2 linked regions of the Oryctolagus cuniculus genome follow. Each later gene encodes a partner of the first gene's protein in a complex. Links are inferred from orthologs where the notes say so. Each region holds a gene or a part of one and is shown on either strand. Other genes may lie near its edges.

Region 1 (15,227 bases):
CATCTGCTGGTTCACTCCCCAGATGGCTGCAATGGTTGATCCAAAGTCAGGATGCAGGAGTCTCCTGTGTGGGTGCGGGGGCCCAAGCACTTGGGCCATCTTCTGCTGCTTTCCCAGGCCATCAGCAGAGAGCTGGATCGGAAGTGGAGCAGCCAGGACTTGAACCAGTGTCCATATGGGATGCTGGCACTGCAGGCGGTGGCTTTGCCCGGCGTGTCATGAATTAATCCAGTCTTCCCGTCGCAGGGCCCCTGCAGGATTCCCCATCCCGGGGCCCTGCCCCTGCTGTCTGTCCCTGTGCCTCGGGTTGAGGCCATTTGTGGTATGATGGGATTTTCTCCCTTGCACTTACATGGTGGTTGCGTCTGATCTCGCTCTGTCGGGAAAGATCGAGGTTTTGCATCTCAGGGTACACAGAGGGGAAGTGTCTGAGAGCGACAGGCGTAGCTCAGGGACGTGGGGGACACTTGTTCCTGTCCTGTAAGCTGTGTGGTGGGTGTGAGCTGGCGCTGCCCCTGCTGCACCTGTGCAGGCATGGCTAATTGATCCCAGACTCCTTCAGTGCAGCGCTCTCTGGTCTGAGACCCACCCCTCAGTACTGCAGGCAGATGCCACCCGTGGGTCAGCAAGGATAAGTAGGAGGACACCCGTCCGTCCATTCTGCCCGTATTAGCACAGCGTCCCCGCCCAGGTAGCTGTAGGAGCGGGCCCCGAGCTGGCGCCCGTCACTACTCCCTGGCCCAGACGATAGTCGCATGCCGGAAATGTCGTTTGTCCGGCTGGAGCCGGTAGCACCCGGCAGGGGCAGGTGCAGCGGAGGCTCCTGGGAGTCGCAGCTGTCTGCTCCCGGGCAGCTCGGGTCCGCGGCTGTGGCTGGCGCAGCCTCGGCCCTCCAGGCCCTTGTCTGCCGCCCCAGGTGATCAGTGTGGACGGGACAAAGCGGCGGACGCTCCTGGAGGATAAGCTGCCGCACATCTTCGGGTTCACGCTGCTGGGGGACTTCATCTACTGGACGGACTGGCAGCGGCGCAGCATCGAGCGGGTGCACAAGGTCAAGGCCAGTCGGGACGTCATCATCGACCAGCTGCCTGACCTGATGGGGCTCAAGGCCGTGAACGTGGCCAAGGTCGTCGGTGAGTCGGGGGCCCACGCCGTGGCTGTGCCGCGCTGGCTGGGAGGACCCACATGGCCGTGGGGGGCCGCTCTGGAGGGCAGGACGGCGGCTGGGGGTGGGATGTTGACAGGACATGGTCAGTGGTGTGGCCCGGGGTTGTTGGTCGCCATTGCTGTATTTGTGGCTGTGTTGTTGAGTGCCTGTGTGTGCTAGGCCCTGACAGAGCCCCTCAGTGCCCAAAGCAACCCTGTTGTCACGGGGTGGTGGTGGTGGGGTGGTGGGAGCGCAGCTGCTCAGTGAGCAGGCAGCCAAGCTGGGCAGTCACCCCGGGTCTGCCCTGACCTCCCAGAGGCTGTGGTCGCTGTCCAGGGTGTCCAGGCCTGGGCCCCGCAGAAATCTCGCCCAGGAGGTCTTTGTTGGACACAGTGATTTCCCTCTGGAAAGGAATCCGGATGCAGGTGCACAGGTTACACTGGACGCCGTGGCCGCAGGGCCGGGCCAGGGCCAGGGCCGGCGGCTCCATGGGGCCCGGGGCCTGGCTCCTGCCTGCACTGTGCGGGCAGATCAGGGAGTGGACGAACGCGAGCCCAGTCTTGCTGCCAGGTTGCTTGTAGTCTGGTGGGTCCAGTGCCCCGCCTGGCTGCATCCAGGAAGTGGGGGTGACTGAGTGTGGGACGGGGGCGGGGGGTGGGGGGAGGGCGGCTGAGCAAGGGCCTGGCCGGAGGCAGTCGGGGTGGCCGTGGGGGCAGTCTCTGTCGAAGCCCTGCCCGCTGCAGACCCGGGGCTCCGAGTGATGTCCGGAACAGAGCCGTGAAAGCCCGCGGCTCCGAGTGGGCTGAGACGGCGGGGCTGTGATCTGGAGCTGAGGCGTCGGCTGCCTCCGGCTCTCCCTTGGTCTGGGAAAAGATGATTTTTTTAGCTGAAATACTTCACACCAATGTGAAACCGACCTTAGCAGTGCCGCGGCGGCAGGCTGAGGTCAGAGGCTGGTCTGTAGAGAGGGCCGCTCCGGTCACCGCTCCCATAGCCCAGAGGCGCCTGCAGCTGCGCCATAAACCCTGACTCTGGGAGGTCCCTGGGGGTGGCAGTGAACTGAAGGGTCCCAGGAGGCGAGCCCTGGTTCCCGTGGGCTCCCCACTCCCGGTCCCCTCGGCTGCCGGCGCCCTCGCCGCGCTCCCCTGCAGGCCGTGCGTTCGCTTCCAGGCACCAACCCGTGCGCGGACGGGAACGGCGGCTGCAGCCACCTCTGCTTCTTCACGCCCCGCGCCACCAAGTGCGGCTGCCCCATCGGCTTGGAGCTGCTCAGCGACCTGCAGACCTGCATTGTGCCCGAGGCCTTCCTGGTGTTCACCAGCCGGGCCGCCATCCACAGGATCTCCCTGGAGACCCACACCAACGACGTGGCCATCCCGCTCACGGGCGTGAAGGAGGCCTCGGCGCTGGACTTCGACGTGTGCAGCAGCCACATCTACTGGACGGACGTCAGCCTGAAGGTAGCGTCTGCAGTGGGCGGGGCGGCCAGGGCTCGGCGCCTGTCACTGACGAGAGTGGTGGGGTTTGTTGCAAGTAGATTCAGGCTGATGACAAGCAGGGGTGGGTATGGCAAGCAGACCCGGTGGACACACACACCCTGGCTTCTGAGGGGTAGCCCGGGGCCTAACTGACAGTGACCGCCGCCCCCCGCCCCCAGTGCCTGTCCGCATGGCGCATCCCTTCATTCAGAGCTCAAGTGCAGGGCCCGCGTTGTGGCGTAGCGGGTTTAGCTTCTGCCCGTGACGCCGGCATCCCATTCAAGTACTGGTTCGAGTCCCGGCTGCTCCACTTCCGATGCAGCTCTCTGCTAATGCGCCTGGGAAAAGCAGCAGATGATGGCCCACGTGGGAGATCTGGGTGGAGCTCCAGGCTCCTGGCTTCAGCCTGGCCCAGCCATTGTGGCCGTTTAGGGAGTGAACCAGGGGATAGAAGATAATCTCGCTCTTTCTCTGTCTCTTTGTAACCCTACCTTTCAAATACATAAAGAAGTCTGAAAAGGCAAACTGGATGGTGTTGCCATGTAGCAGGTTAAGCTGCTGCCTGCAGCGCCGGCCTCCCACGTGGGCACCGGTTCACGTCCCGGCTGCTTCACTTCCCATCCAGCTTCCTGCCACCGCGCCTGGGGAAGCAGCAGAAGACGGCCCAGAGCTTGTGCCCTCGTGCCCACGCGGGAGACCCAGATGGAGCTCCAGGCTCCTCCTGGCTTCTGCCTGGCCCAGCTCTGGCTGCTGCAGCCACATGGGGGAGTGAACCAGCACTTGGGCCATCTTCTGCTTTTCCAGCTGCCTTAGCAGGGAGCTGAATCAGAGTGGAGCAGTTGGGGCTCAAGCTGGGACGCTGGCGCTGCAGGCAGTGGCTTAACCCGCTACTCCACAGCGCCGGCCCCCTCTTGTATTTTATTGGTCCCTTGGGGTAGTTTCAGCGGTGAGATCGCGGGTGTGAGCTGCACGTCTTGAAGACTTGAGAGCGATGTCTGTGTGAGGTTTGCATGATGCACGTGGCCACGCCCAGGTTGCTTTTCCTACAAGGGTGCTGTTGGGCTGCGCGTTGAATGCTCACCCTTGGACGCCCAGTGCTGGCCAGCCGGTCCCGAGCGCAGTCGCCGGCTGCTCCGGGGCCTCTGACGCCTGCCCCTCCCCTCCCCCGCCCCAGACCATCAGCCGCGCCTTCATGAACGGCAGCTCCGTGGAGCACGTGATCGAGTTTGGCCTCGACTACCCCGAGGGCATGGCTGTCGACTGGATGGGCAGGAACCTCTACTGGGCCGACACCGGCACCAACAGGATAGAAGTGGCCCGGCTGGACGGGCGGTTCCGGCAGGTCCTGGTGTGGAGGGACTTGGACAACCCCAGGTCGCTGGCCCTGGATCCCACCAAAGGGTAAGGGTACGGGCCCCCACCTTTCCCCCGTCAGCCCGTGCGGCGGCGTCTGCGCTCAGTATGACAGCTGTGCCGGCTGCCACTAGCTTGCACGTGGCCTGGACTGGCGGGACACCAAGGCCAGAGTGTTGGCAGGGGGCCGGAAGCTGCTGTGCCAGGCACCAAGCTGGCCACTGTCGCCTGGGCCTCCTGGGAGCCTGCACGGGGCAGGTGTCCGTGCCCTTGATCGCCCAGATGTGCAGCGGAGGCTCGGGGACCCGCCCGGGGTCAGTAGGCAGTGGAGCGGGGTGAGGCCAGCAGGTGCCTCTTGGGCTCCCTCCGGGCCTCTGTTCCTCACTACGAGGCCCGGCTGCCCCAGGAGAGCTGGCCTTGAGGTCCTTGGATTCCGGGCTGCTCAGAATGGGCTCCTCGGGGCTGCTGGGCCACAGCTAGGCCCGCTCGAGAGGCACAGGGGCCTGGCGCCCTCTTGGGGCCTGGGGGCCTGGGTTTTCTTCCTGGTACCCACCCTGTAGCCTGACCGTGACGGGGCTGGAACAGCCCAGACGCTGCGTGGTGCCACTCTGATGGGCACGGAAGGCAGACTTGCGACAGCGGAGGGGCAGGTTTTTGCAAGAAAAATTAGGAGTTTCCGGACGAGGACGAGATCCTTTCTGGGTCTGTCGAGGAGGAGGAGGAGGAAGAGGAGGAGGAGGAGGAGCCGCTGGGGGAGGCGGCGTGGGGCTGAGCTCGAATCCCGGTGCCGCGGTGCCTCCCGGCCTGGTCCTGGCGCTCGCGGTCTCCCCCAGCCTGGTTCGCGTCCGTCCCTGCGGCAGTGCCTGCATGTGAATGCTTTAGCGCCTGCTTTTGTGTCTTGGTGGGCGTTCAGCTGCCTTGCAGGTGCCTCTGCAGGAGCTCAGGGAGGAGCCCGGGGACAGCCCCAGCAGGGCCTCAGCCGGGTCTCCAGGAAGCGGGGGGCTGACGGGGGAGCTGGTGAGGGCCACCTGGCCCCTGCACCGGAAGTGGACTCAGCCCTGCGCCCGCCCCCCGTGCCTCCCAGCTACATCTACTGGACGGAGTGGGGCGGCAAGCCGAGGATCGTGCGCGCCTTCATGGACGGCACCAACTGCGTGACGCTGGTGGACAAAGTGGGCCGTGCCAATGACCTCACCATCGACTACGCCGACCAGCGCCTCTACTGGACTGACCTGGACACCAACATGATCGAGTCGTCCGACATGCTGGGTGAGCGGCCGGGCGGCCGGGCTCGGCCCTCCACGCCGGCACCCGTGCTGTAGCCGGGGTTTGGGGAGAGGCCTGATGTTTGCCGGCCATTTCCCGTGCTGCTGCTGGGTCCCGGCTTCTGGCAAACCCTGCTACCGAGACTCTCATCTGATCCCACGCCTGCGGCGGAGGTGTGCGTCGATGGGGAGACCGGCTCAGGGAGGCCGTGCGGCGTGGTCTCCAGTTACAGGCCCAGGGGTTGGGGAGCCCCCCGGAGCCCAGGGCCACTACCTGTGCCCGCCATTGTGCTGGGAGCTTGCTCGGGCTCCCAGCATCCCCTGTGGGTGCTCTTGTCCCCCTGTTCCCTGGGTTGGGGGAGTGGAACGCCAGACGGGCTGGGGCTCTGTGGGCTCGGGTCTGGGCCCCCAGGCAGACGAGGGGGCAGATCACCGCGGCTCCCGTTTGCAGGGGTGTGGTTGTGCCCATTTTGCAGATGAAGAACCTGAGGTGTGGGCGAGCGGAACGCCTCGTCCCAGGGCCGGAGCTAGGAGCTGGCGTCTCGGGAGGGCGGGCTGCACCCTGAGGCTCCCAGTGCCGGGGTCGCAAGGCCGGGCGTGAGGGCTCTGGCCCGAGGTGAGACCAGTCACAGCACGGCCATGGTGGCCGGAGGTGACGAAGCTCGCCCATCACCCGGTGTGCGGACGGGCTGCGGGCAAGGCAGCCAAAACTGAAACCCCAGAGCATGGCCACCCTGTGCCAAGGGCCTAGCCGGCCCCTGCCTCGTGCAGTTTCCCCTCTGCCTGCCTCAGATGCCACGCAGTGCCTGCCTGGTTAACGCAGGGACGCCGGAGGGCCGTGGCAGCACCTGGTTAACTGGGGGGGGGGCTGCAGGGCCGTGGCAGTGCCTGGTTAACCGTGGGGGGGCCGGAGGGCCGTGGCAGTGCCTGGTTGATCGTGGCGGGGCTACAGGGCTGTGGCAGTGCCTGGTTAACCATGGGGGGACGCTGGAGGGCCATGGCAGCACCTGGTTAACTGGTGGGGGGGGGCGCAGGTCTGTGGCAGTGCCTGGTTAACTGTGGGAGGCTGGAGTAGCAGCCCCTGGCGTGGCCCCGGCGCTCTGCTGTCATGCATGTGCCCCGGTTCCCCGGGTGATGATGGTCGCTCGCTGGCAGAGCTCCTGGGGCGCGAGGTCTCTGACCTGGTGCGGGGGAAGCCTCTCTCAGCTCGGGCCCGGCCGCGTGTGTCACGGGGAGGCCGTCCTGAGGCCCTTTTTAAAGTGACCGTTCCCGGGGATGAAATCATCAACTTCCAGACTGGACACGGGTGGGCTTTGGCGCAGCGGTTAAGGCGCCACTCGGGACAGCCGCATCCCGCAGCCAAGTGCCTGGGCTGGAGCCCGGCTCCACTTCCCATCCAGCTTCCTGTTGATGCACCTGCAAGGCACAGCTCACGGCTCAAGTTCATCCGTCTCTGCTGCCCGTGTGGGGCCTGGAGTCGATCTCCAATTTCTTTTTTTAAAGATTTATTTATTTATTTGAAAGTCAGAGTTACAGAGAGAGAGGAGATGCAGAGAGAGATAGACAGAGAGAGGTCTTCCATCCTCTGGTTCACTCCCCAGTTGGCCACAAAGGCTGGAGCTGAGCTGATCCAAAGCCAGGAGCCAGGAGCCACCTCTGGGTCTCCCACGCGGGTGCAGGGGCCCAAGCACTTGTACCATTTTCTACTGCTTTCCCAGACCACAGCAGAGAGCTGGATCGGAAGTGGAGCAGCTGGGACTTGAGCCAGCGCCCAGGGGATGCTGGTGTTACAGATGCGGGCATTGATGGACAGGGCTTTCCCACGGCCACGTGCTCAGGAGTGGGGAGCCGGGTGGCCCAGGCTGGGGGACCCCAGAGCTTGGTTTGTTAAAATGGGATTTTCCAGTGCCGTGCAGCCGGCCAAGCTCAGAGCGCTGAAGGAGCACGGCACAGGTGGCTCCTTCAGAGACGGGGGGCGGCTCTGGCGCCCCCGCCCCTGCTCCCAGCCCCCAGCTCCTCCCCACGTGTCCCAGCAGCCACCTCGGCCCGTCACTGCCTCTGGTGCTGTCTGGGTGGATAAGCTTTGCTGTCACAGAACCTTCTAGAAGCATGTCCTATGGCAGGTGCTGTTTTGTGTCCTGCTGCTCCCACCTGGCCCGTGGGCTGTGGTTTCTGTTCCTGGGCCACTTCTGTCACGTGAAGACCCCCTGGGGGGCCCCTGGGGGCCGGCGTCTGGGTGGTTGCTGGCCTGCGGCTCTCTGTAGGACTTGGCACTGGGGACGGTGCCATGCGTGCAGGCCCCTGGCGGGGAGGCTCGGCTGCGGGTGAGCCCGTGGGTGCCGCGGCCGGGCCGTGCTGACACCGCGGGGGTGGGCGGTCTCCCCGCAGGTCAGGGGCGGGTCGTGATCGCCGACGACCTCCCGCACCCCTTCGGCCTCACGCAGTACAGCGACTACATCTACTGGACCGACTGGAACCTGCACAGCATCGAGCGGGCCGACAAGACCAGCGGCCGCAACCGCACCCTCATCCAGGGCCAGCTGGACTTTGTGATGGACATCCTGGTGTTCCACTCATCGCGGCAGGACGGCCTGAACGACTGCGTGCCTGGCAATGGGCAGTGCGGGCAGCTGTGCCTCGCCATCCCTGGGGGCCGCCGCTGCGGCTGCGCCTCGCACTACACCCTGGACCCCAGCACCCACAACTGCAGCCGTGAGTGCCTGCCCCTGCAGCAGCCGGGCCGTGGGGCTCCTCAGCCGGGTGCACGGGGATGGCTGAGCAGGTCGTGCGCTACACAGAGTCGGTGGAGCTGCCTGGTGGCCTCGGCCGAGCTATGGGGTCTGTGAGGCATCTCTGGATGTGAAAACCTACCTCTAGGGGGCGCTCTGCACTGTTCCATGCATTCAGCGAGGGACTCCCCCGGCCCCTGCTTATTCCCAGACAAGGAGCCCCAGGCACAGAGCGGTGCGGTCACCTGCTCAAGGCCACACAGCTGGGCTCGGGCTGGCTCTGGGCGGCCATGCCGTCTCCTAGTGGCCTCTGTGTGTGTGTGTGTGGGGGGGCATCTTGTTCTTCTACAGTGATAAGAACAGGGACATTCAGGAGCCAGGGGTGACTTCCTGTGTCCCTGCTGTGGGTACTGCTGTGACAGCTGCAGTGTCCGTAGCTCAGCTCCGCGCCGCAGGCCACAGTTCTCACAGCGTGGCGTCACCCGGGCCCTCTCTGCCCTGGGCTCGTGCAAGCCCTGAGCTGGCCGGCGCTGGGCCTGGCTCCCTGCAGCCCGGTTCCCCGTGACCCCGCTGCTCATGGCCCTCCCGGGGGTGAGCCTGGGGGCTCAGGAGGCCGTGCCAGGGCCAGGAGCAGATGTTGTCACCTGGGTTCCCTCTCCGCGGCCGGCAGACCTGGGATGACACTTTGGATTTCAGGACGCGTGCCCTGGGGTGGCCTCCACGCGGGCCGAGTGCCATGTCTGCACCAGGCCACAAGGGCTCCTGTCTGGACCCGTTCCGCCGTGAAGGAGGGGCCCTGGGAAGCAGGTTCTTTGTGTCCCCGTGTCACTCTGAGGAGGCCCAGGAACAGCTCCGGGCGCCCCCAGGCCCCAGCTCCCTTGAAAACCAAGACCCAGGGCCGCAGGGAGACTGCGCCTTACTGGGCTTCCAGGCGTCGGCACGCGGCTCCCTGCTGTCCCGTTATCTGCGGCTCACCGGCCCCACTCCCCGAGGCCCGTCCCCTCCTGGTGCCGTCAGCCGCCCACATGGGCGTGCGTGGGTGGACCGCAGGCTACTCGTGGGTGACACACGTGTTCATGGCTCTGAGTGGGGGCTTCGCTGCCATTCCTTTCCTTTGGTCCTGAGTTCTAATGGTAAATGCCGTCCCCGGTTCAGAGCTGACACCTGCCCTTGCACACAACGGGGGGGCACAGCCTTTGTCCTGTGGTCTTCCTCCGCGGACATCCAGCCGTGCAGGTGCGGGTGTGCTTTTCAGAGTCCAGCGGGAGGGAGGCCAGCTGTCCGTCTGTCCATCCACCCGTCCGTCCTTCCGCCTGTCCGTCCATCTGCCTGTCCTGGCCGCGTCCCCTGCAGCCTGCGGGCGCCAACGTGCCGCCCACTGGTCTCTTTGCTTTGCTCCAGCGCCCACCGCCTTCTTGCTGTTCAGCCAGAAATGTGCCATCAGCCGGATGATCCCGGACGACCAGCGCAGCCCGGACCTCGTCCTGCCCCTGCACGGGCTGCGGAACGTCCGCGCCATCGACTACGACCCGCTGGACAGGTTCATCTACTGGGTGGACGGGCGCCAGACCATCAGGCGCGCCAAGGACGACGGCACCCAGGCAAGTGCACCGCCGCTTCCGTGGGGAGACCCCTGGCCGCCGCCCCCTGTGCAGCCTGGCCCTGGTCAGGGTGAACGGTAACGTCACTGGCAGGTGCCATCCTGAGCCGTGTGGGACCCTGGGCCTGGCCAAGCCCGGGGGAGACCCCCTGTGCAGGGCGACCGTGCCTGCGTGGGCGTGGGTGCTGTTGGTCACGCCCATTTATCCTTTATCTCGTGGTCCACTCTCCCGTGAGCCTGTGCGTCGGTGCTCTGTGCCGACAGCACGCAGGGCTCATGGGAGAAGCAGTGCTGGGGCACAGCGCTCAAAACCCCAGAAGCAAAGGGTCCCCCGTCCGTGGAGCGCCCGGCGCAGGCCTGTGCCGCGGGAAGCTTGCTTCCGTTGCCCGTTCCTGGTTTCTGGGTGGTTTCCGGTGTCTGCTGAGCAGGTGGAGTGTCCGCCACGGCCTGCTGTGCCAGAGGCCCGGGGCCCAGGATGGCGCTCACCCCAGACGGCCGAGCCTTTGGGAGGGGCCCTGGAGGGGGGCCTCAGGTCGTGGGGTGTGGCCCCTCGAGCTCTGCAGAGGGTCCTCATGGAGCCCGAGTTTGGGATTGGCCCCTCTCTGCCCCGTCCTCCGTGCGTGCCGCTGCCCTCACTGGAGGCCGTGCTGATGGGGCTGTGTGGTCTTGGCCTGGAACCCCCTCACTGTGAGCTGACCGTTGACCTGCCCTCGCAGGAAAGCTGGCTCCTTGGGGGTTTGCTGTGGCAGTGCGGGGCTGCCTCATGCACGTTTCTGGCCTGCCCTAAGCTGGAGGCTGGCACTGTTTGTCCAGCTGGCTGGCCCTTTGCCAAGGTATGTCGCCCAGCGCCAGTGCCGAGTTCACAGGTCATAGCGCCAGGTGTGTGTCCTCGGCTGGTGGTGGAGGTCACAGGCGGCTGGGATCTCTGTGGGAGCAGTCGGGGCAGAAGTTATAGAAGCAGGTGCCTGCCCTGTGCTGGGTGTGGGGACAGCTGGGTGCCCGTCCTGTGCTGGGTGTGGGTGACAGAAGCCCGCCCTGTGCTGGGTGTGGGGACAGAAGCCCGCCCTGTGCTGGGTGTGGAGACAGCCGGGCACCCGCCCTGTGCTGGGTGTGGGGAGAGAAGCCTGCCCTGTACTGGGTGTAGGTGACAGAAGCCCGCCCTGTGCTGGGTGTGGGGACAGCCGGGCACCCGCCCTGTGCTGGGTGTGGGGACAGAAGCCCGCCCTGTGCTGGGTGCGGGGACAGAAGCCTGCCCTGTGCTGGGTGTGGGTGACAGAAGCCTGCCCTGTGCTGGGTGTGGGGACAGCTGGGCACCCGCCCTGTGCTGGGTGCGGGGACAGAAGCCTGCCCTGTGCTGGGTGTAGGTGACAGAAGCCTGCCCTGTGCTGGGTGTGGGGACAGAAGCCCGCCCTCTGCTGGGTGCGGGGACAGAAGCCTGCCCTGTGCTGGGTGCGGGGACAGAAGCCTGCCCTGTGCTGGGTGCAGGGACAGAAGCCCGCCCTGTGCTGGGTGTGAGGACAGAAGCCTGCCCTGTGCTGGGTGTGGGGACAGCCGGGCACCCGCCCTGTGCTGGGTGCGGGGACAGAAGCCCGCCCTGTGCTGGGTTCGGGGACAGAAGCCTGCCCTGTGCTGGGTGTGGGTGACAGAAGCCCGCCCTGTGCTGGGTGTGAGGACAGAAGCCCACCCTGTGCTGGGTGTGGGGACAGCCGGGCACCTGCCCTGTGCTGGGTGCGGGGACAGAAGCCCGCCCTCTGCTGGACGAGGGTGGCATGTACCGCTCTGCAGGGCCCAGGTGTTAGCTGAGGCCGTGCCTCCTGCTGGCTCCGGTGCTTTGGTGCCTGGAGTGGCCATTGGCAGCCTCGGAGGAGGAAGTGGGCGGAGGCTTTGAAGAAACAGCCTGGAGGAAGGCTCCGCCCTGCTCCTCAGCTGGGAACCCACCCTTCCTGTGGCTCTTGCCGGCTCGGCCCCTGGGGGACCTGGCTCTGCTCCTTCATTCGGGACAGTGGTCATTACCCACTGGATGAGGGCTTGGTGCCGCCCCCGCCCCCACGGGCCGTGTCTGCCCTGATGGCTCCTCCTCCTCGCGCTGGGGTGAGCGTTGCGTGGTGCAGCTGGGCTCTGCGGTCAGCCAGGAAGCCCGAGCGTCTGCCGCCCAGGGAGGGCCGTGGGCCCGGCGGTGTCGCGGGTGCTCGTCCTGGACAGCTGGGGTTTGCAGAGTCCGGGTTTGCCCGGCTTCCGCAGCCTGCCCCGTGCAGTGAGCCAGTCCTGGCCGTGCCGGCCAAGATCCGCGGGCAGGGAGCTCTGTGTGGCGCTGGGGCACGCGCCCAGGCCCGGCAGTGTTGTGGGGCACGGGTGTCGCCCGTGCAGAGCCGAGGTCCTCAGAGCTGCTCTGAGCCTGGAGGGTGGATGCTCTTGGCGGCTGCCGGCGAGGCCAGCCCAGGGCTGCCGTGGTGGGTCCTTTCCAGCCGGATCCAGGAGGCTGGGCCGGGGGCAGGGGCTCCTTTGGGCTGCAAGCCCCCTCCGTTGCCCACCTGGAGACATCGTGTTTCGTCGACACTGAAACAAGCCAAGACAGCCCCCGGTGACCTGCTGGGCGAGGTCGCCCTTGGCTGCCCCCCTTCCTAGAGGCCGAGGGTCTCCCCCCAGCCATCGCAGCCCCGGAGCTCCACGCCCCTCTGTCAGCCAGGTCTCCAGGAGCCGGAACGTGCGGGCTGTCAGGACAGCTTCAGGGGCCAGGTCGTCCCAGGCGCCAGGCTTCTGGGGTGGAGTGCAGCTCTGGGCTCCTCCCGCTTCCTACGCCTGCTCAACCCATCACGTTGGAGGGATCGTGCGGGAGACCCCAAAGCCAGGACACATCCTCCAAATGCAGCCAACGCAGTGCTGTGGGGATAACGGGCTGGGTGGAGGCCCCTGAGAGGCGCTGAGATGGGGTCCCTTTCCCCTCCCCCGCCCCCCGCCTCTTTCCCCGCCCCTGCACCCCCACTCTTTCCCTGCCCCTGCCCCCGCCCCCTGGCCTCTTTCCCCTCCCCTGCCCCTGCCCCCCCCAGCCTCTTTCCCCGCCCCCGCCCCCGGCCTCTTCCCCCACCCCCTTCCCCCACCCCCGCCCCTGCACCCCGGCCTCTTTCCCCTCCCCCGCCCCTGCACCCCGACCTCTTTCCCCGCTCCTGCCCCTGTACCCCGGCCTCTTTCTCCTCCCCCGCCCCTGCACCCCAGCCTCTTTGCCCGCCCCTGCACCCCGGCCTCTTTCCCCTCCCCCGCCCCTGCACCCCGACCTCTTTCCCCGCTCCTGCCCCTGCACCCCGGCCTCTTTCTCCTCCCCCACCCCTGCACCCCGGCCTCTTTCTCCTCCCCCGCCCCTGCACCCTGGCCTCTTTCCCCGCCCCCGCCCCTGCACCCTGGCCTCTTTCCCTTGGGGGAGGGGCCGTGAAAGGGGTCTCCTGGTCTCTGCATCTGCTGACCTAAGTTAAAAAATACTTGAGGGTCTTCCATCCTGGGAGCACGTATCCTGGGACACAGCAGGGAGACGTCTCGGCCGGGCCTGAGGTCCTGGGGCCCCGCACCTGGCGGACACTTGGGGTGAGCCAGGGACGTGACCACCGGTGTCACTCAGCTGGGTCCCTCCGGCGTCCTCGCTCACGGGGCCTGGGACCCAGGGTGGTGCCGAGTCCTCCGGAAGCCGGTGTCCGGATCTGCCTCTGCACTCGGAGGTTGGGAGAGGACGGGTTGCTGGGGTCTTGGCCTCCGGGCGCGCTGGGATGCCCCTGGCTGCTCTCCCTGGCGCCAATGTGGTTTCGCTGCTGTCTCCGCAGCCCTTCATTCTGACGTCTCCGAGCCAAAGCCAGAACCCAGACAGGCAGCCGCACGACCTGAGCGTCGACGTGTACAGCCGCACGCTGTTCTGGACGTGCGAGGCCACCAACACCATCAACGTGCAGCGGCTGAGCGGGGAGGCCGTGGGGGTGGTGCTGCGTGGGGGCCGCGACAGGCCCAGAGCCATCGTCGTCAACGCCGAGCGAGGGTAGGCAGTGACGACCCTCTCTAGGGCCCCAGCCCTGTGGTCGGGGCGGAGAACAGACGCGCAGACGTGGTCACGGTCACGGGCAGGGGGCCCAGCGGGGCAGCCCGTGCTGGTGGGCGGCGGGGAGCGGCTTCTAACAAGCCGACCGCAGAGGTTAGTTCAGGGCTGGCTCCAGGCCGCCTTCCTCTGGCATAGCAGCACTGCCTGCTGGCTTCGGGTGGCCTTCGGGGTTCCTCTTGTTTAAAAAAAGTTGGAGCAGCAGCATGGCAGAGAGGGGGAGACAGAGATTTTCCATCCACTGGCCTGCTCCCCAAACAGCTGCAAACAGCTGGGCTGGTCCAGGCTGCAGCCGGGAGCTGCATCCGGGTCTCCCGCGTGGCTGGCAGGGCCCGAGCACTGGAGCTGTCACCTGCAGCCTTCCCACGTGCATTAGCAGGGAGGCGGATTGGAAGTGGAGCGGCCGAGGCTGGAACCAAGGGCTCCAGCCTGGACGCGGGGTCCCATGCAGCAGCGGACCCCGCCGCCCGCCCCTCAGGGCCCCCCCTCCAGGCACTCTGTCCGGTGGCCGCCTCACTCCCCTCGCTGCCCCGGCACGCATGCGCCTGCTCGGACCTCCTTGATGGTGGGCCCGCCCTGACGCAGCGCCCTCTCATGAGATCCTTGACTCACCCCCCGAAGACCCGTCCCTAACTAAGCTCACATTCCGAGGCCCTGGGCCGGACACTGAGCCGCCAGGCCTGGGCTGGTGCTGGGCGAGGCGCTGTGGGCCCGGGCAGCCCCTGCCCCGCCCGTGCCTCACCCGCCCCCACCTGCAGGCACCTGTACTTCACCAACATGCAGGACCGCGCGGCCAAGATCGAGCGCGCGGCCCTGGACGGCACGGAGCGCGAGGTCCTCTTCACCACGGGCCTCATCCGCCCCGTGGCCCTCGTGGTGGACAACGCGCTGGGCAAGCTCTTCTGGGTGGATGCGGACCTGAAGCGCATCGAGAGCTGCGACCTCTCAGGTGGGCCGTCTCCTGCCTTCCTCGTCGCAGGCGCGCGCAGCCTGGCCCTGCAGGTGCACCTGCGGGTTCCGGCGGGGCCCCGCGTGCCAGAGGCTGGCGACCAGGCCCAGGGAGGGCGAGCCGGCTGCTCGGGGTCCCTGCGCGGGGGGAGTGGGGTTCCCGTCGCACCCTGTGGGCTGGGGAGAAGCAGGAGGCGGTGCCTGGGGTCCCTCCCAGCTTTTCTTCTTGGTGGGTGCTGCGCTTCCGGGGGCCCCAGTGGAGTCTCCCATCTGCCTGGTGCCCGGGAATTGTCCCCGCTCCCACCCCGGCCAGGGCGTGGGCCCCCCGCGGGGCCCTGGGGTCCTCCCTGTGAACCTGCGTTCTCCTGAGCCAAGCCCGTGCCCTTCCCCAGGGGCCAACCGCCTGACCCTGGAGGACGCCAGCATCGTGCAGCCCGTGGGCCTGGCCGTGCTCGGCCGGCACCTCTACTGGGCCGACCGGCAGCAGCAGATGATCGAGCGCGTGGAGAAGGCCACCGGGGACAAGCGCACGCGCGTGCAGGGCCGCGTGGCCCACCTCACCGGCATCCACGCGGTGGAGGAAGTCAGTCTGGAAGAGTTCTGTACGTGGGGTGGGCAGCGGCGCGGGCGGG
Region 2 (15,715 bases), on another chromosome or scaffold:
CACTGGGGTGGTGGAGCAGCCCTCCCCGGGGCCTCGGGGCCGCCTGGCTGCACACCGCTCCTGCAGTCAGCTCCAGCCATCAACCCGGCCAGCCAGCTCAAGCAGTGCTCCCCACCTGAGAGCCAAAAGGTCCGAGTGGGTGTGAAGGGGCCACTGCCCCAGGCAGGGGCGCCCCCCAGCAGGTGCACAGCGGCCCATCACTGAGCCACGCTCCAAGAGGGCAGCATCGGCAGGAAGCCAGCCAGCCAGCCTGGGACAGGCGACCCCGAGAGACCCGGCTCAGACTTGTCGGCAGGAAGCCAGCCAGCCTGGGACAGGCGACCCTGAGAGACCCGGCTCAGACTTGTTTGGACAGCCCTGTTCCTAAAGGCACCAGCATGAGACACCCACGCCGAGCCACAGCCGTGAGTGGGACCGTGTGTAGCCTCACTCCTCACAGCCCTGTGCTCTCCGTGGTTCCTGGTGGGTGGGTGGGTGGTTTTGAGATGAGTGTTTGTCTTTCAGAGGCACCTGTGATGCATGGGTGACATTAATAACTTCTCCAGTGCTCCTAATAAAGCAAAGGCCGACGGCATCGTGACCCCACGCTGGCCGCTCTGCTGTGTGGTCGCTGAAATGGCCCTGCTGGGGGACACCGGGCTTTGCAGGGGCATCGCGTGTTGCCGCCGGTGGGAGCAGGGTTCCCTGGGCGAGGGGAGCCCCGGCCCATGGTCTCCCATGAGTCTGCCAATGGCCGCCCTGACCGGGGAGCGCCTGGCTGTGGGGCAGTGTCCCTAGGTTTGTCACGAGGCTTTCAGTCCTGGCGTTGCAGCCTGAGCCCTCCTGTCCCCGTGGAGCAGGGGGGATGTTGTGGGTGCTGTGGCACACGCAGTCATGAGCTTCCTGTGTGGACGCAAGACGCAGGCGCTGCCCCTGGCTCGGGACAGGGCTCTCAGAAGACGCTTTTGCATTTCCCTGTGCCTTGTGGTTTCATCTAAGTGCCTCCAAGTTCAAGTGCAGGAGCGCACGCTGCAGCACAGACAGCTGTGTGAAGGCTGTGGGCCCAGTGCGGCTGCTCCACCTCCAATCCAGCGCCTGCTGTGGCCTGGGAAAGCAGTGGAGGACGGCCCAAGTGCTTGAGCCCCTGCACCCACGTGGGAGACCTGGAGGAGGCGCCTGGCTCCTGGCTTTGGCCTGGCCCAGCCGTCATCTGGGGAGTGAAACGGCAGATGGAGGATCTCGCTCTCTGTTTCTCTCTGTAACTCCACCTTGCAGATAAATAAATCGATCTTAAAAAAAAAAAAAAAAAAGACATGTTGGCTGGTGCCACAGCTCACTAGGCTAATCCTCCACCTGCGGCGCTGGCACACCGGGTTCTGTCCCGGTCGGGGTGCCAGATTCTGTCCCGGTTGCCCCTCTTCCAGGCCAGCTCTCTGCTGTGGCCCGGGAGTGCAGTGGAGGATGGCCCAAGTGCTTGGGCCCTGCACCCCATGGGAGACCAGGAGAAGCACCTGGCTCCTGGCTTCAGATCGGTGCAGCGCGCCGGCCATGGCGGCCATTAGGGGGGTGAACCAATGGAAGGAAGACCTTTCTCTCTGTCTGTCTCTCCTGTCTCTCTCACTGTCTAACTCTGCCTGTCAAAAAAAAAAAAAAAAAAAAAAAAAAAAAAAAAGACACACATGCACTCTAGTCAGGAATCCTCCTTCGTTACTTGGGAAAGTATCTTTCTCTGGGTTTCTTCTTGTTAGGCTTGTTACTTCTTTCAAGGTACTCAGAGACTAAGAGCAGGGGGAAAAAAACCCCACAATTTTTGCACTGAAAAAAAAAGTTGTAATTCTGGAACTTTCAGGATGTTCCAGCCCTGGGGGAGGTTGTACAGGTTCCCTTTGAAAGATGTGGGGTAGAGACACAGGTCCTGCAGGTTCGGGGCCAGGGAGCAGCATGGACTCTCTGGACCCCCCAGCCCAAGGCAGGCGTTCGCAGTGGCTAAGATCCCCTCTGGGGGTGCCCGGGTCAAGCCCTGGCTCCGCTCTCAATCCCGACTTCCACTAGCGCACACGCGGGGAGGCAGCAGGTGATGGCTCAGGTACCTGGGCCCCTGCCACTCCCCAGATGGGGTTCTTAGCTCCTGGCTTCTGCCCAGCTCAGCCCTGGCTGTTTCGGGCATTTTGGAAATGGACCACCAGATGACAGCTCTCTCGCTGTCTATTTTTCAACAACAACAACAAAAATAACCAAAAAACAAGAAGAGGGGGTGTGGTCTAGAGGTCACTGGCACCCCAGGGCAGGCAGAGCCTTTATCTCCAATGAGGCTCCCTCGGCTGGTAGCACGCGTTCCTGAACAGGGGGAGGACGCGGTGAGGTCGGCCGGGGACATAAGCTCCATGCGCCGACACCGACACCACTGTCCCTCCCAGGCTCCCGGCTCCATCTAGTTTCTTGCTTAATAGAACCACACAGTATCGCACAATTCAGTTTCTTTCTTTGCAAGTCTTTGGTTACTAACAGGGCATGAAATTCTCCGTTTGCACCAGGTGAGGGCGCTCTGTCCCCTCCCAAGCATTTACCACTCCTGGAGTTGAAACAAAACAAAACAACACAAAACACCATGGAAACCAATCCCATCTGTCTCCAGGAGCCCAGGTGGGTGACCGCAGCTGGCTGGCCTAGCGGATCCGCGGAAGACCCCCAAGAATCCCCAGGGCGGCCTTGGAGAACTCTGGCATCTCAGTCCCAGGGTGCAGCCTGGGCGCTGTGGGCAGAGGTGAGGACCCCCGCTGGGCTGCTAAGCCGTCCAAGCCTGGGCCCCGGGGTGTCGCAGAAGGGGAGTGGACAGGGGCTTTGGTCCTTGTCCCCTGGGCTCGGTCACTTGGTTACCTTGGTGCTGACTGCTTCTGCCCCTGGCCGCTCCTCCTCTTGCCGCACCTCTCTCTCCTGCCGCAGGTGCCGGCGCCCTGCTCAACCCCTCTCCACAGGTGCCGCCTGCAGGCCTTTGCTTGCTGTGCCGCCCGTGCTCCCTCCCTGACTGCGCTGGCCAGAGTGACTCCCCTCCCCCCCGCCCAGTCTGTCCCTGCAGCTCCTCCTAGGGGGCTGGGGAATTCCTGGGGAATTCCCTCCTGGAGAGGAGGGACCATGTGTTCTCCGTGCCCGTGGGTCACTGGCAGACCACGGGAGCCCACGGGGCGACTCTGGGACCAGGGCGCACAGCGGGGTGCACAGGGGGCCGCTGTGTCAGGCCTGCAGGACAGGCGCTTTGCTAACCTGTCCGCACCCCTGGTTTGGGAGCTGCAGCGCCCTAACTTGCCAAAGGAGGTCTTGGGTGTCAGGGTGTGCATGTGTGTGCGTGTGTGGCACTCCGGCTGAGCTGCCTGTCACGGCATCTGGCGACCCCACGGCCTGCGGGTCTGCTGTGGACCCCACCCCCTCCCCAGCAGCCACCCCGCTCCTCAGGACCCAGGGTTCCAGGAGGCCCTGGGGTCCCCTCCTGTAGAACCTGGCTTCCCACACTGCTGTGTTCTCCAGGGGGGCTCTGGAAGGCCACAGCAGGCCCCCTCTACCCCTTGGCTGGCCTTGTCGGACACCTGGGGACAGCAGGGACAGCCCTGCCCCCTGGCCGACCCCACAGCATACGTGTGCAGCTCCAAAGGCTGACACTGGGCTCGGCCGACAGCCAAGTGTGGGGCGTGTGAAGCAGTGCAGTAGCTGGTGTAAAACCGCCACCTGCACTGCCGCATCCCGTACGGGCGCCGGTTCGAGTCCCGGCTGCTCCACTTTTGATCCAGCTCTCTGCTACAGTCTGGGAAAGCAGTAGACAGATGGCCCAAGTCCCTGGGCCCCTACACCCACGTGGGGGACCTGGATGAAGCCCCAGGCTCACCCAGGCCTGGCCAATGCAGCCATCTGGGGAGTGAACCCGCAGATGGAAGACCTCGCTCTGAGTCTCCTTCTTCCTCTGTAACTCTGGCTTTCAAATAAACAGAAAACTGAAGCCTACTCCAAACAGTCTCTATTACTGATTCTTCCTCCATTGAAGGGTTGGTAGGACAGATCTTTGGCAAGCATTCCACTCTTTAAATAAGAGTAACACAGAGGCTGGCACGATGGCTCACTAAGCTCATCCTCTGCCTGCGGTGCCGGCACCCTGGGTTCTAGTCCCGGTCGGGGCTCTGGATTCTGTCCCGGTTGCCCCTCTTCCAGGCCAGCTCTCTGCTGTGGCCAGGGAGTGCAGTGGAGGATGGCCCAAGTGCTTGGGCCCTGCACCCCATGGGAGACCAGGAGAAGCACCTGGCTCCTGGCTTCGGATCTGTGCAGTGTGCCGGCCGCAGCAGCCATTTGGGGGGTGAACCAATGGAAAAAGGAAGACCTTTCTTTCTGTCTCTCTCTCTAACTCTGCCTGTCAAAAAAAAAAAAAAAAGAGTAACGCAGAAAAGAATTTGTAGGAAGACAGGCACTTGGATTGCCACCGACCTTAGTTATATTTTTAGCTTAACAGTGACACTGAGGATTGATTGATTGAGCGGAGGTTAGCAAAAGTCACCTTAAACTGTGTGGGAGTGATGTCCTGTGAGGCCTTAAACAGATGCAGTTTTGAGGTCAGGCATGACCCCAGATTCTGAGAACTTGGAATGATGAACACAGAACGCCTGCAGGAGCCCTAGGTGGGTGCCTGGGACAGGGTCTGCCATCTGGGTCGTCAGTTTTTCTGAATGAATTGGAAGGGAAATGGCACTGTGCAGCCACAAGATGGCAGCAGAGCACCGACTGTGGACAGCGGCCGGCGCCGGCTCCGCTCTGAGCACCGCTCTGCACCCACTCTTGAAGTAGCACATCTGCTGTGCAATCTCTCGGTGGATTTCTGCTCGCAAGATGATCTGTGGGCCTCCCCCGCAGGCTCTGAGGCACCGGGGCGCCCCAGCGCAGCCCGCGAGGGCTAAGGGACTGCCGCTTAAACTCTGCTGAACTTGGTGCCCTGTGGTCCTTCCCGGTCCCGCAGCTGCCCCGGCAGCTTGCTGTAATGAGCTCTGGCCTGACTGCAGGTTTTCATCAGGTTAGATTTTATTGACATTGATCTAGCCACACAGTAATGACGTCTTTCCCCACGGACCCCGGTATTTGACAAGGTGTCCAGAAACAAATATTTGTTTCATAGTCACTTAGGTCACACCCTGGGAGCCCAATGGGGTGTCCGGGGCAGGTGCACCAAAAGAATCAGCCGTGGGGTTTTGATTTCACGAGCAGATGGCACTGGGTATGGGGCAACTTTGCCAGGCAGGTTTTGGCCTCAAAGGCAGAAATCGAGCACACGGCGGCTTTCAGCTGGGGTTGCGGGGAGCCCAGGTGCAGGGGGGTGTCAGCAGTCCACAGGGGCTCTGTTGGTTGGCTTCATGAGCCTGCTGAAATTGAACACAAGCAGCCACCTGGTAAAAGGAACCAACACGGCATTTGACAAGGGTTCAGAGAACCAATAGCTAGCAAGCCCCTCAGCTGACCACTTGGCACTGTGGCCCATGTTCAGAACTCTGTCACTCATGGGAATGGCACACTGGAAGCCCAACATGCCAACCAAGGACTTTCAGCTCTGTCCCCGTCTGCCAGGTACAGCTCTCGTGGCACCTGCACCCTCCAGCCCTGCAGTCCCCACTTGGGTGGGGAGCAGGCCCCTTCTGGGCACCTAAGGCACACCCCCATGGTCCCTTCATGACGACAATGGCGGCAGAGGGGAGGTTTCACAGGGCCCCGCCTCGGAAAACGCGGACTGGCGGGAGAGCCGGGGCCGCTGTTCTTCCTGTAAATCCGATTTTTAAAAATGCAATTAACAGCAAGCACGACTCTGGGAAGGATTTGCAAAATGTCAGGACGTGAGAAGTCGCCCACAGTACGGAAGTTTCCACCCTATTAAGAAAACCACCGAAGATTCCGATCTGGAGAAGTAAAGAGAAGAAACATCTTAGCAGGATGCCCAGGACAAGTCCCCTCCCACCACGGTGATTGATGCCTCCATCATTAGCGGAGGATCTGCCCGGTTCTTATCTTGATTGACAGGTTAATAAGGGACCTGGGGCTATCTTTTCAGTAGGAACACACAATCCCACCAATTACTTTTAAATTATTGCTAATGTGTCAGAAAATAACAAGCATCAGGAATAAAAATATCTTTAAAAGAGAGAAACCTCTGCCGAACCAGCTCCTACTTCCGGGTTCAGAAAACTTCCCAGAATTTAGTGAATAGAATTTAGGCACTGAGGATTTTTTTTTTAAAGAAAAACTTGTAGATTATAATAGTTCATTGGTTCAATTAGGAGCGAGAAAGAAGGGAGTTTTGTAATGCAATTGTCCAGGGAAGGAAAAGGCTTTAAATTGGGGGATTCTGTGCCGAGACCACCTGTAGGGCATTCAGCAACGCCGCAGCGCAGGCTCGCAGCCTGCGGGCTGGCCAACAATACCGGGAATGGCTGTTTAAAAGGCGGAGCGCACTTGTGCTCCCGGTCCCCACTGACTGTTACAAGTGTTCCCGGCCCCTGGCTCCCTCTCCTTTTTAAAGTAAAAGTCCCACATCCCTTCAATGGCCGAGCGCTCAGGCTCCGTGGTGGCCAATGGAGCCGGCTGCAAGGACGGAACAGTGCGGCCTTTACAAACGCCTTCGAAGATCAAAGTTTTTCCAACTCAAAGGACCAAGTTCCCTACAGATTAACCCTATTCATCCGGCTCCTCTTGAAGGGATGGTGTGCAGAACCACTGGACAGACAGGTAGGGAGCGCCACCATTGCCGAAGCTTTCTGCTAATGCAGCAGCCTTCTGCTTCAATACATTAGCTTAGTCTTGACAGAGGGATAACAGGTTTTCTTTTCTCCTCCAGAGAAGGCAGCACATTTGGGACACACAAGCAGGGATGATTATTAAGATGTTAACCCATGAGAAGAATCCATTCTTGAGCCCTCCCCTGCTCGCGACCAGGCTGTCCAGTGAGTCCCACGGCCAAGAGCGCCCTGAGCTTTAACAGCGCACCTGGACGTCCCAGCAGCACGTGCAGTGACCGCACCACCAGGGGCTCTGCGGACTCCAGACGCCAGAGAGCCCAGGTGGGCTCTGGAGACCTTGGCGGGCACGACACGGGGGAATGGCGGGGCCCAGGCCCAGGGGGCTGCTGCCTTGCGAAGCGTCCGGCTCACCCACTCAGGTGCGAGCTGGATCCAAGATCTCCACTCTGCTGTCAGTCCCACAAGGACCTGGACGGCGGTAGAACCAGCGCGTTTGCCGGTACCTTCCCCCCACTGCCAAGGTCCCCAGGGAAAGTCCCTTTCCGGCTCCTGGTCCTGGCCAAGCTGGCCAAGCCCTCTGGAAGGCAGCAGCAGCTCAGAAGACGCAGGGAGAGCCGGCGAAGCTTCCGATCATTTATCAAAAGTCGTTTTATTGACAAAATAGAATACTTATATTTGTTCTTACAGGGGTCGCCTCTACACTTTTTACAAAAAAAATGTACACGTTGTATATCTTTGGATATATACATATGGTACACGTTTTTGTTTTTTGTTTTTGCTTTTTACAATGTAACAAATAATTATATAAATACATCCTCTAACGTCAGAAACCCGTATTTACTTGGATTGGGTGATTAAGACATTTCTTGCTTGCTTATTTAAGGCATGTGCCCGGTCAGGAAAGATTGACCCAAACCGTGCAGCCCCGGACGGCCGCAGTCGGCTCGCCCCTCGCTCCAGAGTGGACGCACAACACAGGGGGTCTCCGGGCGGCATCGTGGAGCGCTAGCTTCCAGGTCGGCGAGGGGCACGCGGCGAGGGGGCTCCGGAAAGCCCGGCGGAGTCCACCCAGCCGGGCCCGCGCGGCAGGAGCGCCCGGCGCGGGAGGAGGGGGCCGGCTCCCGGGGGGCTTCCATGCCAGCTACTTTGTTCTAAGGGAGTCCTTTAAGTCCCAGCTAATGGATACCATTAAGAGTTCATTATCATGCTAATAGCAGTCAACACCACGGGGAAGGGGGTGGGGTGGGTGGGAATCCCGCGCGCGCGCGCGCGCACGCACGCACGCGCCCCCCGCGTTCAGACCTGGGACAGGGGCATCTGCTTCGGATAGGACCCCGAGCTGGCCGTGCCCGAGCGCCAGGTCAGGCCGGTGCTGACGTCGCTGTAGAGCGAGCCCCCTCCGCCGCCGGGCCCCGCGCCCGCGCCGCCGCCCCCCGGGCCGCCGCGCCCCTGCGCGCCCGAGCCGCCGCCGCCGCCGCCGCCGCCCGCCGTGCCCTTGCTGGCCCAGCAGCAGCGCGTGCAGAGCGCGCGCCAGGACTCGAGCGTCTTCCCGGACCAGATCCACACCCCGGAAGTGATGCCCACCACCAGGCACATGAAGTACTTGAGCATGAAGACGGCGTAGTCGGGCCTGCGCGCCTGGTCGGGCTGCAGGTCCCGCAGGCAGGGGCAGTTGTGCGTGGCCTCCCAGCGCGGCCGGTTGTGCTGCTCGTAGAAGAGGCAGGCGACCACGACGGCGGCGGGCACGGTGTAGAGCACCGTGAAGAGCCCCAGGCGGATCATGAGCTTCTCCAGCTTGTGCGTCTTGGTGGGGCCGCCCTGCTGCTTGATGACCGAGCGGATGCGGAACAGCGACACGAAGCCGGCCAGCAGGAACATGGTGCCGATGAAGAGGTAGATGACCAGCGGCGCCAGCACGAAGCCACGCAGGTTGTCCAGGCTCTGGTTGCCCACGTAGCAGATGCCCGCCACCGGGTCGCCGTCCACCGAGCTGAGCGCCAGCACGGCGATGGACTTGACGCTGGGCACGAGCCACGCGGCCAGGTGGAAGTACTGCGAGTAGCCGGCGATGGCCTCGTTGCCCCACTTCATGCCGGCCGCCAGGAACCAGGTGAGCGACAGGATGACCCACCAGATGGAGCTGGCCATGCCGAAGAAGTAGACGAGCAGGAAGACCACGGTGCAGAGCGCCGGGCCCGTGGTCTCGTAGCGCACGTGCTGCTCCACGGCGCCCAGCTCCTCGTAGTCGCCGCGCGCGCCCGCGCCGCCCCCGGCCGCCGCGCCCGCCGCCGCCGCCGCCCCCGCGGCCGCCGCGCCCCCCGCGCCGCCCGCGGCCCCGGCGCCCGGCGCGCCGCCGCTGCAGGCCACCTTCTCGTGGCCGGCCACCAGGCGCACCAGGTAGCCGACGGACACGAAGAGGTAGCAGGCCGAGAGGAAGATGATGGGCCGCTCCGGGTACTTGAAGCGCTCCATGTCGATGAGGAAGGTGGACACGGTGGCGAAGGTGGACACGAAGCACAGCACGGACCACAGGCCGATCCAGAAGACGGTGAAGGCGCGCTCGTCCTGGCTGAAGAACGGGTTGTGGCAGGGCAGCGCGCAGTTGGCGATCTGGCCCGTCTTGACGCGGTTGTAGAGCGGGTGCCGCTCGCTGGACACGCTCACCATGGGCGCGCGGCACTGGCAGCCCGCCTCGCAGGGCGCCGCGCCGCCGCCGCCGCCAGGGGGCCGCGCCTTCCCGCCGCCGCGCGCGGGGGCCGCGGCCGCCGCGTCCCCGCCGCCGCCCCTGCCGCGGTGCGGGGGCCGGGCTCCGGGCGCGCGGCCGTGGCCGCTGCCCGCCGGCGGCTGCTCGCCCGGAGGCGGCGGCGGCGGCGGCGGCGGCGCGCGGCGCGGCGGGCCGGGCGCGGCCGTGGTGAGGTCGGTGCGGTTGTAGTCCATGCACAGCGTGTCCGGCTGGCCCTGCTCCGGCAGGCGGTCGCAGCGCATGCGGTCGGGCCAGGCGAAGCCGTACTGGCGCATGAGCGGCGCGCAGCCGGCCTTGGCGCGCTCGCACACGGCGCGGCAGGGCGGCAGCGGCTTCTTGTAGTCCTCCAGGCAGATGGGCGTGTACATGGAGCACAGGAAGAACTTGAGGTCCGGCGAGCACTGGATCTCCACCAGCGGCCAGAACTGGTGCACCTCCAGCCCGGCCTCGTCCTGCGTGTCGTGGTTGAACTGGTTGGGCATGTAGGTGTAGTTGTAGCCGATGCCCCGGCACAGCGGCACGGTGATCTCCTGGCACGCCAGCTCCTTGGCCGACGCGGCCGCCGCGCCGCTGGAGCGCTGCAGCAGCGCCAGGGCGGCCAGCAGCGAGGTCACCTCCAACAGGTAGCCCCACTCCATGCCGCGCGCGCGCGCCCGCGGCCCCCGCGAGCGGGGCCGGCCGCCCGCCGCCGGGCTCTGCGCCTCGCTGCGGGCCGCGCTCAGCTCTCGCGGGGCGGGCCGGCCCGGCCGCGGCGCATGGCCCCGACCCGCTCGCTCGCTCGCTCCCCCTGGCGCGCGCAGGGCCCCTCGGCGGCGCCGCAAGTTTCCGCCCGCGCCGCGGCGCGCAGTCAAGATGGCTGGGCCGGCCGGGCCCCGGTCAACCCCGTCTCGGGCCCCGGGCGCTCATGCCCGCCTCCGCCGCCGGCTTCCTCCGTGCGTCCGCCTGGCCGGCCGCTCCTCCTCCTCGGGCGCAAGTCCGCGCCGCGCCCCGGGCCGCTCCTCCTGCCCGCCGCGCGCGCCCCGCTCGCCCCGGAAGCGCAGCAGACCCCCGAGCTGCGCGCCCGGCCCCGCCGCCGCCTCGGCGGGAGCAGCACCCTGCACCCAACTTCCCGGCCGCGGCCCCCCGAGCGCCGCGCGCCCGGCTCATGAATATTTATACGGCCCCGGCGCTGCCCCGCCCCCTAGTGCCGGCCAATCGGCGGCGGCGGGGCGGGGTCCGCGCGCGGGAGGCGTGGCCTCCTGGCCGCCGGCGGGCCGGGGCCCCGCGGGCTGTGCGGGCGGCCGGGCCCGGCGCCTGGGGGCTGGCTGCAGGGCGGCGGCGGTTCCCCAGCGCCCCGCGCGGCCCGCAGAGGGGCTGGGCTCGGGGGCAGGTGGCGAGGCGCGCTCTTCCCCGCCGGGCGACCCGCGCGCATGGTGGAGGCCCGCGCCGCCCGCCTGGTCTTCGTGGCTCGCGGCCCGGAGCCCCGGGCGCCCGCAGCGGCTGCGGGTCAGGTGCGCGCCCGGCGCCTGTCCGCGCCGCGTGGCTCGGGGTGGGGGAGGGTACTGTGTCGGTATTCGGGTGGCGCTGGGACGCTGGGCTCCCTCTTGCAAAACAATCCAGTATCTTCTTAAAAAAAGAAAAAAAGAAAACAAAACAAAAACTTGTAAATCAGCGGCGGGGGGGTGGGGGGGCTCGGGCTCCGGTCTGGGTGCGCTCGGCTCACGCCCGTCCACGCGGAGCGCACCAGCTCCGGCCGGCCGACCCGCGGCGGGCTGCCCCGGGCTGCGGTGCCCGCCCGGGCCGGGGGGCGCCGGCCGGCAGCGGGGTGCGCGCAGGTTGGTGGGCGCCGGCTGGGCCGTCGCGGGGGGCTGTCTTTCTCCCGGTGCGGAGCGTTTGTTGTTTAATTGATGTCGCTGTTCCACTTAGCGCTCGCGCGGGACTCACGCTGCGGCGGTAATTACTGTAACCTCGGGACTAGCGCCGCGGCGCCGGCGCCCCCGCCCGCCTCGCTCCCCTCCCCTCTCCCCCTTCTCTCCTCCTTTCTCTCTCCCCTCTCCTCTCTCTCCTTCCCTTCTCTCTCCTACTTCTCTCCACGTCCCTTTCCCTCTCTCCCCTCCTCTCTCCCTTCCCCTCCCTCCCCCTTCTCTCCTCTTCTCTCCCCCCACTTCTCCTACTTCTCTCCTCGTCCCTTTCTCTCCTCTTTCTCTCCCTCTCCCTCCCTTCCTCTCTCCCCCCTTCTCTCCCTCTCCCCCTCTACTTCTATCTTCTCCCCCTCCTCTTTTCCTTTATCTCTCTCTCCCCCCTCCTCTCCCCCTCCCTCTCTCCCTCCTTTCCTTTCTCTCCCCCCTTCCCTCTCTCTCCCTCTCCCCCCCCCTTCTCCTCCCTCTCCCCCACTCCTTTCCCCTGCTGCAGAGCCCAGCCCCCACGCGGCCCAGAGAGGGGGAAGGCACCAGCCTCTCCAGGTCCAGGTGGCTCCTGGCGGGCACTGCGTAGTCAGGGGACAGGTGAGGCTGGCGAGGGCGCATGCGCGCTGCTCTACCTGGCCCCCACCTCCGAAGGCTTCAGGGGCTCCCCCAGCCTTTGCTGGGCAGGGAAATGTCACGCGGAGATGGTTAGACTTGCGCGCCGTGTAAACTGACCAGAATGAGGGAAAAAAACAGCCTGACATTTGAAAATCGAGGCTGCAAATAGTTGGTTTTGGCTGTTCACTGGCATTCGATTCTTTCTCCTTTTTTCTTTGGAGACAAGATGAAAGCTTTGATGATGTGGAATGTGGAAATTTTTGGTAAGTGTATTAAGCCTGCGTAAAAAAAATAAGCAGACAGAAGTTCAGACTTCTAAAAAATCATGTTATAGGCAATTTGGGGAAACTTTTTACTGATTTGGGACATAAAATCATGAAAGATTTACTTACATAAAATCCTGAAAGATTTATTTTTAATCGTCTATGAATAGCATCTGAAATTTGCCAATAAATGGGAAAATTAAAAAAAAATAAGTGACTACTTGAGAAGCTTTCAGAGGGGGAAAGATTTCTAAAGCCAGCAGCGGTAGTGTGCCCGCCAAGACCAGAACTGCGGACACTTTGCTTGTATGTAAAACAGCATTTCCGGGCAGGGAAGCCGGTGGGTGGGGGATGAATGAATAATGCAGAGTGCAGGAGCAGATGTCCAACAGGTAGAGGGGGAGGCCGGAGGGAGCTGGAACACGGGGTGGCCACGTGGGTGTCAGGAGAAACTGGGGTGAAGGTACTGCAGCCGGACTTCTCGCAGGTCGGGCTCCGCACCTGCAGAACACGTGATGTGAGCGTGGAGTGGAGGACCCTCTGCACCTGATGGCGTCTCTTGGATGTTACCTAAGACACCAGCCGGTTTTCCAGAGGCTGCTTTTCTTCCAGAGAAACGAGTATCGCACGTTCAGAGAGTTTAAAACTCTATCCGGTGACGCTGGGTACTTGACGTTTTGAAGATTTAAAACATTTATTTGGAAGAGGGAGGGAGAGCGAGCGAGCTTCTCTCTGTTGGTTCAGTCCCCCAAAACACCCAGGCCTGGGCCAGGCTGACGTCAGGAGCCAGGAATTCCTTCTGGGTCTCCGTGTGGGTGGCAGGGACCCCAGGCCTTGGGCCATCACGGCTGCCACCTGGCCCCTCAACAGGAAGCGGAGTGGAGGCTGGGCTGGGTCTGGAACCCAGGCACCCCGCTATGGGATGCCTGTGTCCCAAGCAGCATCTTGACCACCAGGCCTCACGGCCGCCCCGTCTTAGTGGGCTCAGGTCTGCAGCACACCAAGCGTTGCGTCTTCAGCGGCCAGCTGTGTGAGTGGACGGGAGCAGGAGATGGACTGGTCAGGGAGGGTATTTGAGCGCTCTTCCTCCTCACCAGCAGCGAATGTTTACAGAGCTGTCTCCTGCTTTCTCTTCCACCAGGGAGGGAGGCTCCTGTGGGTGACAGGCCGCGTGCCCCTCGCTGGAGGTCACTGCTCCCTTACATGGAGCCGCCATTTTGGAAGATGGCGCCTGCAGTGTGGTGCTGCCTCTCCAGCCACTCCAGCGCGTGCTCCCGCGGGCTCAGTTCTTGTTCTCATTTGCACAGGAGTACGGGCGGGTGTCCAGGCTCTTGAGGACACAGTGTGCACTCATTTGGGAGCTTTCTTTCTTTAAAGATTTATTTATTTGAGAGGCAGAGTTACAAAGAGAGGGGGAGAGAGGTCTTCCATCTGCTGCTTCACTCCCCCAGTGGCTGCAATGGCTGGGGCTGGGCCAGGCCGAAGCCAGGAGCCAGGGGCTTCCCCGAGGGGTGCAGGGCCCAAGCGACTGGGTCGTCTTCGCTGCTTTCCCAGGGATCCAGCAGGGAGCTGGGTCGGAAGTGGGACTTCCTTCCGCCATAACCATCTTGTAACTCAAACTGCCAGAGCCAAGCAAGGACACCTTCCCTGGCGCTGAGCGTAGAAGCCAGAGTTCACAGTCAGTCCCCCGGGCTCGTGGAAGCTCCAGCTGCCGAGTCATCCCGTTTCAGGCCACCCTCCATTCTCTGGAAGCCCTTGGCTGACTGGCCCCGAAGCACGGTGGTCTGAACCTGCCTGGTGGCCAAGGTTGGCACCCAGCACCAGACAGGCTGTGACGGTGGGCGGGCTCCAGCAGGGGGCTGGTGACGGGGCCCCGGGGAAGGCAGAGGGCAGGGAGGCGGGGCTGCCAGCGGCACACCTGACCACGAGCAGCCCAGTGCCCAGCCCCCAGCACATCGCACTCTGGATTAGGAATCAAGGATGCTCCAGGTCCAAGCAACCCTTAATATCCGGATTCTCTTCCCTGGGCCGTGCACAGCATCAGGTTCTCTGTGCACTGGGAAATGGCCAGCAGTTTACCACGCGTTTTCTTGATAATGTTTATAAACTGTGCAGTATCATTCCTGAGTGCCTTTGTGTTGGGCTTTTACCCTAAAAATGGACAAAATTCTGGGAGTCAGAGGGTATTTGTTGTTAAGTCCTAGACCCTATAACCTTTTTATTTTAAAAGGTGATTTGAGGCCGGCGCCACGGCTCACTAGGCTAATCCTCCGCCTAGCGGCGCCGGCACACTGGGTTCTAGTCCCGGTCGGGGCGCCGGATTCTGTCCCGGTTGCCCCTCTTCCAGGCCAGCTCTCTGCTATGGCCCGGGAAGTGCAGTGGAGGATGGCCCAGGTGCTTGGGCCCTGCACCCCATGGGAGACCAGGAGAAGCACCTGGCTCCTGGCTCCTGCCATCGGATCGGTGTGGTGCGCCGGCCGCAGCGCGCCGGCCGCGGTGGCCATTGGAGGGTGAACCAACGGCAAAGGAAGACCTTTCTCTCTGTCTCTCTCTCTCACTGTCCACTCTGCCTGTCAAAAAAAAAAAAAAAAAAAAAAAGGTGATTTGAGATGGAGAGAGAGAGAGAGGGAGAGAGAGAGAGAGAGCGAGCCGGCATCTGCTGGTTCACTCCCCAGTGCCTGCAACAGTTGGGACGGGGCCAGGCTGGAGCCAGGAACCCAGGACTCCACCCGGGTCTCCCATGCGGGTGGCAGGGACCCAGGACTCCACCCGGGCCCCCCCACGTGGGTGGCAGGGACCCAGGACTCCACCTGGGCCCCCCCACGTGGGTGGCAGGGACCCCAGGACTTGCACCACCACCTGCTGCCTCCCAGGGAGTGCATTAGCAGGGAGCTGATGGGGACTCAAATCCAGGCACTGCAACATGGGAATGTGGGTGTCCCCACTGGGGGTCTTACCACTAGGTCAAACGCCCACCCAGCATAACAGTTTGTATTGGCAAAATTATAATTAATGTAGGAGAATTGTATTGAAGCCCCCTCTGAGCTGCTGCTGGATGGGAAAGGGCTTTTATTGCAAAGCAGTGTTGGTCCAGGCGAGAGTTTACGTCTGGTTACAGTGTAATCTGGTTTAAGCCGTGGTCTGGGCTATGGAGACTTGACATTAGTAACATGAATACTTATTAGGGCACTAAAGCCTGGGGGTGGTGGCTTGATTCCTGTTTTATGTTTGTTTCTGACCAGAGTCAGGGGAACACATAAAGCATTTTTTGTCTGGAAGTGACAACATTTGATTTTTCTCGTCTTTGTTGCTGTTGGAAGCACATATGCTTCAGGAGAGTCAACCTTAGTTTATGGAAGCATGGTTTGTAGCATAATAGTCGAGTATAGAATAAAAGTGGATGCGTTACCACGTTGAGTGTATTGGAATAATTTCACAACATAAAGATGAACCCTGGCATGCTTTCTTTTT

Evidence for each region.
Region 2: LRP5 (region 1) and FZD8 share a complex: the UniProt entries of both Homo sapiens proteins name them as parts of the wnt-signaling complex. The link is inferred for Oryctolagus cuniculus from reciprocal best matches to the Homo sapiens genes LRP5 and FZD8.

Annotation. Positions count from the first base shown.
Region 1 is NC_091432.1:4,142,678-4,157,904, reverse strand, and holds part of LRP5 (low-density lipoprotein receptor-related protein 5), read left to right. Parts: intron 1-916; coding exon 917-1,133; intron 1,134-2,317; coding exon 2,318-2,607; intron 2,608-3,799; coding exon 3,800-4,026; intron 4,027-5,062; coding exon 5,063-5,247; intron 5,248-7,631; coding exon 7,632-7,955; intron 7,956-9,373; coding exon 9,374-9,573; intron 9,574-13,381; coding exon 13,382-13,590; intron 13,591-14,405; coding exon 14,406-14,596; intron 14,597-14,987; coding exon 14,988-15,197; intron 15,198-15,227. UniProt on the Homo sapiens protein: Acts as a coreceptor with members of the frizzled family of seven-transmembrane spanning receptors to transduce signal by Wnt proteins.
Region 2 is NC_091444.1:107,147,178-107,162,892, reverse strand, and holds FZD8 (frizzled-8), read right to left. Parts: upstream 10,615-15,715; 5' UTR 10,119-10,614; coding exon 8,034-10,118; 3' UTR 7,368-8,033; downstream 1-7,367. Other genes in the region: GJD4 (gap junction delta-4 protein), read left to right, coding at 1-145. UniProt on the Homo sapiens protein: Receptor for Wnt proteins. Component of the Wnt-Fzd-LRP5-LRP6 complex that triggers beta-catenin signaling through inducing aggregation of receptor-ligand complexes into ribosome-sized signalosomes.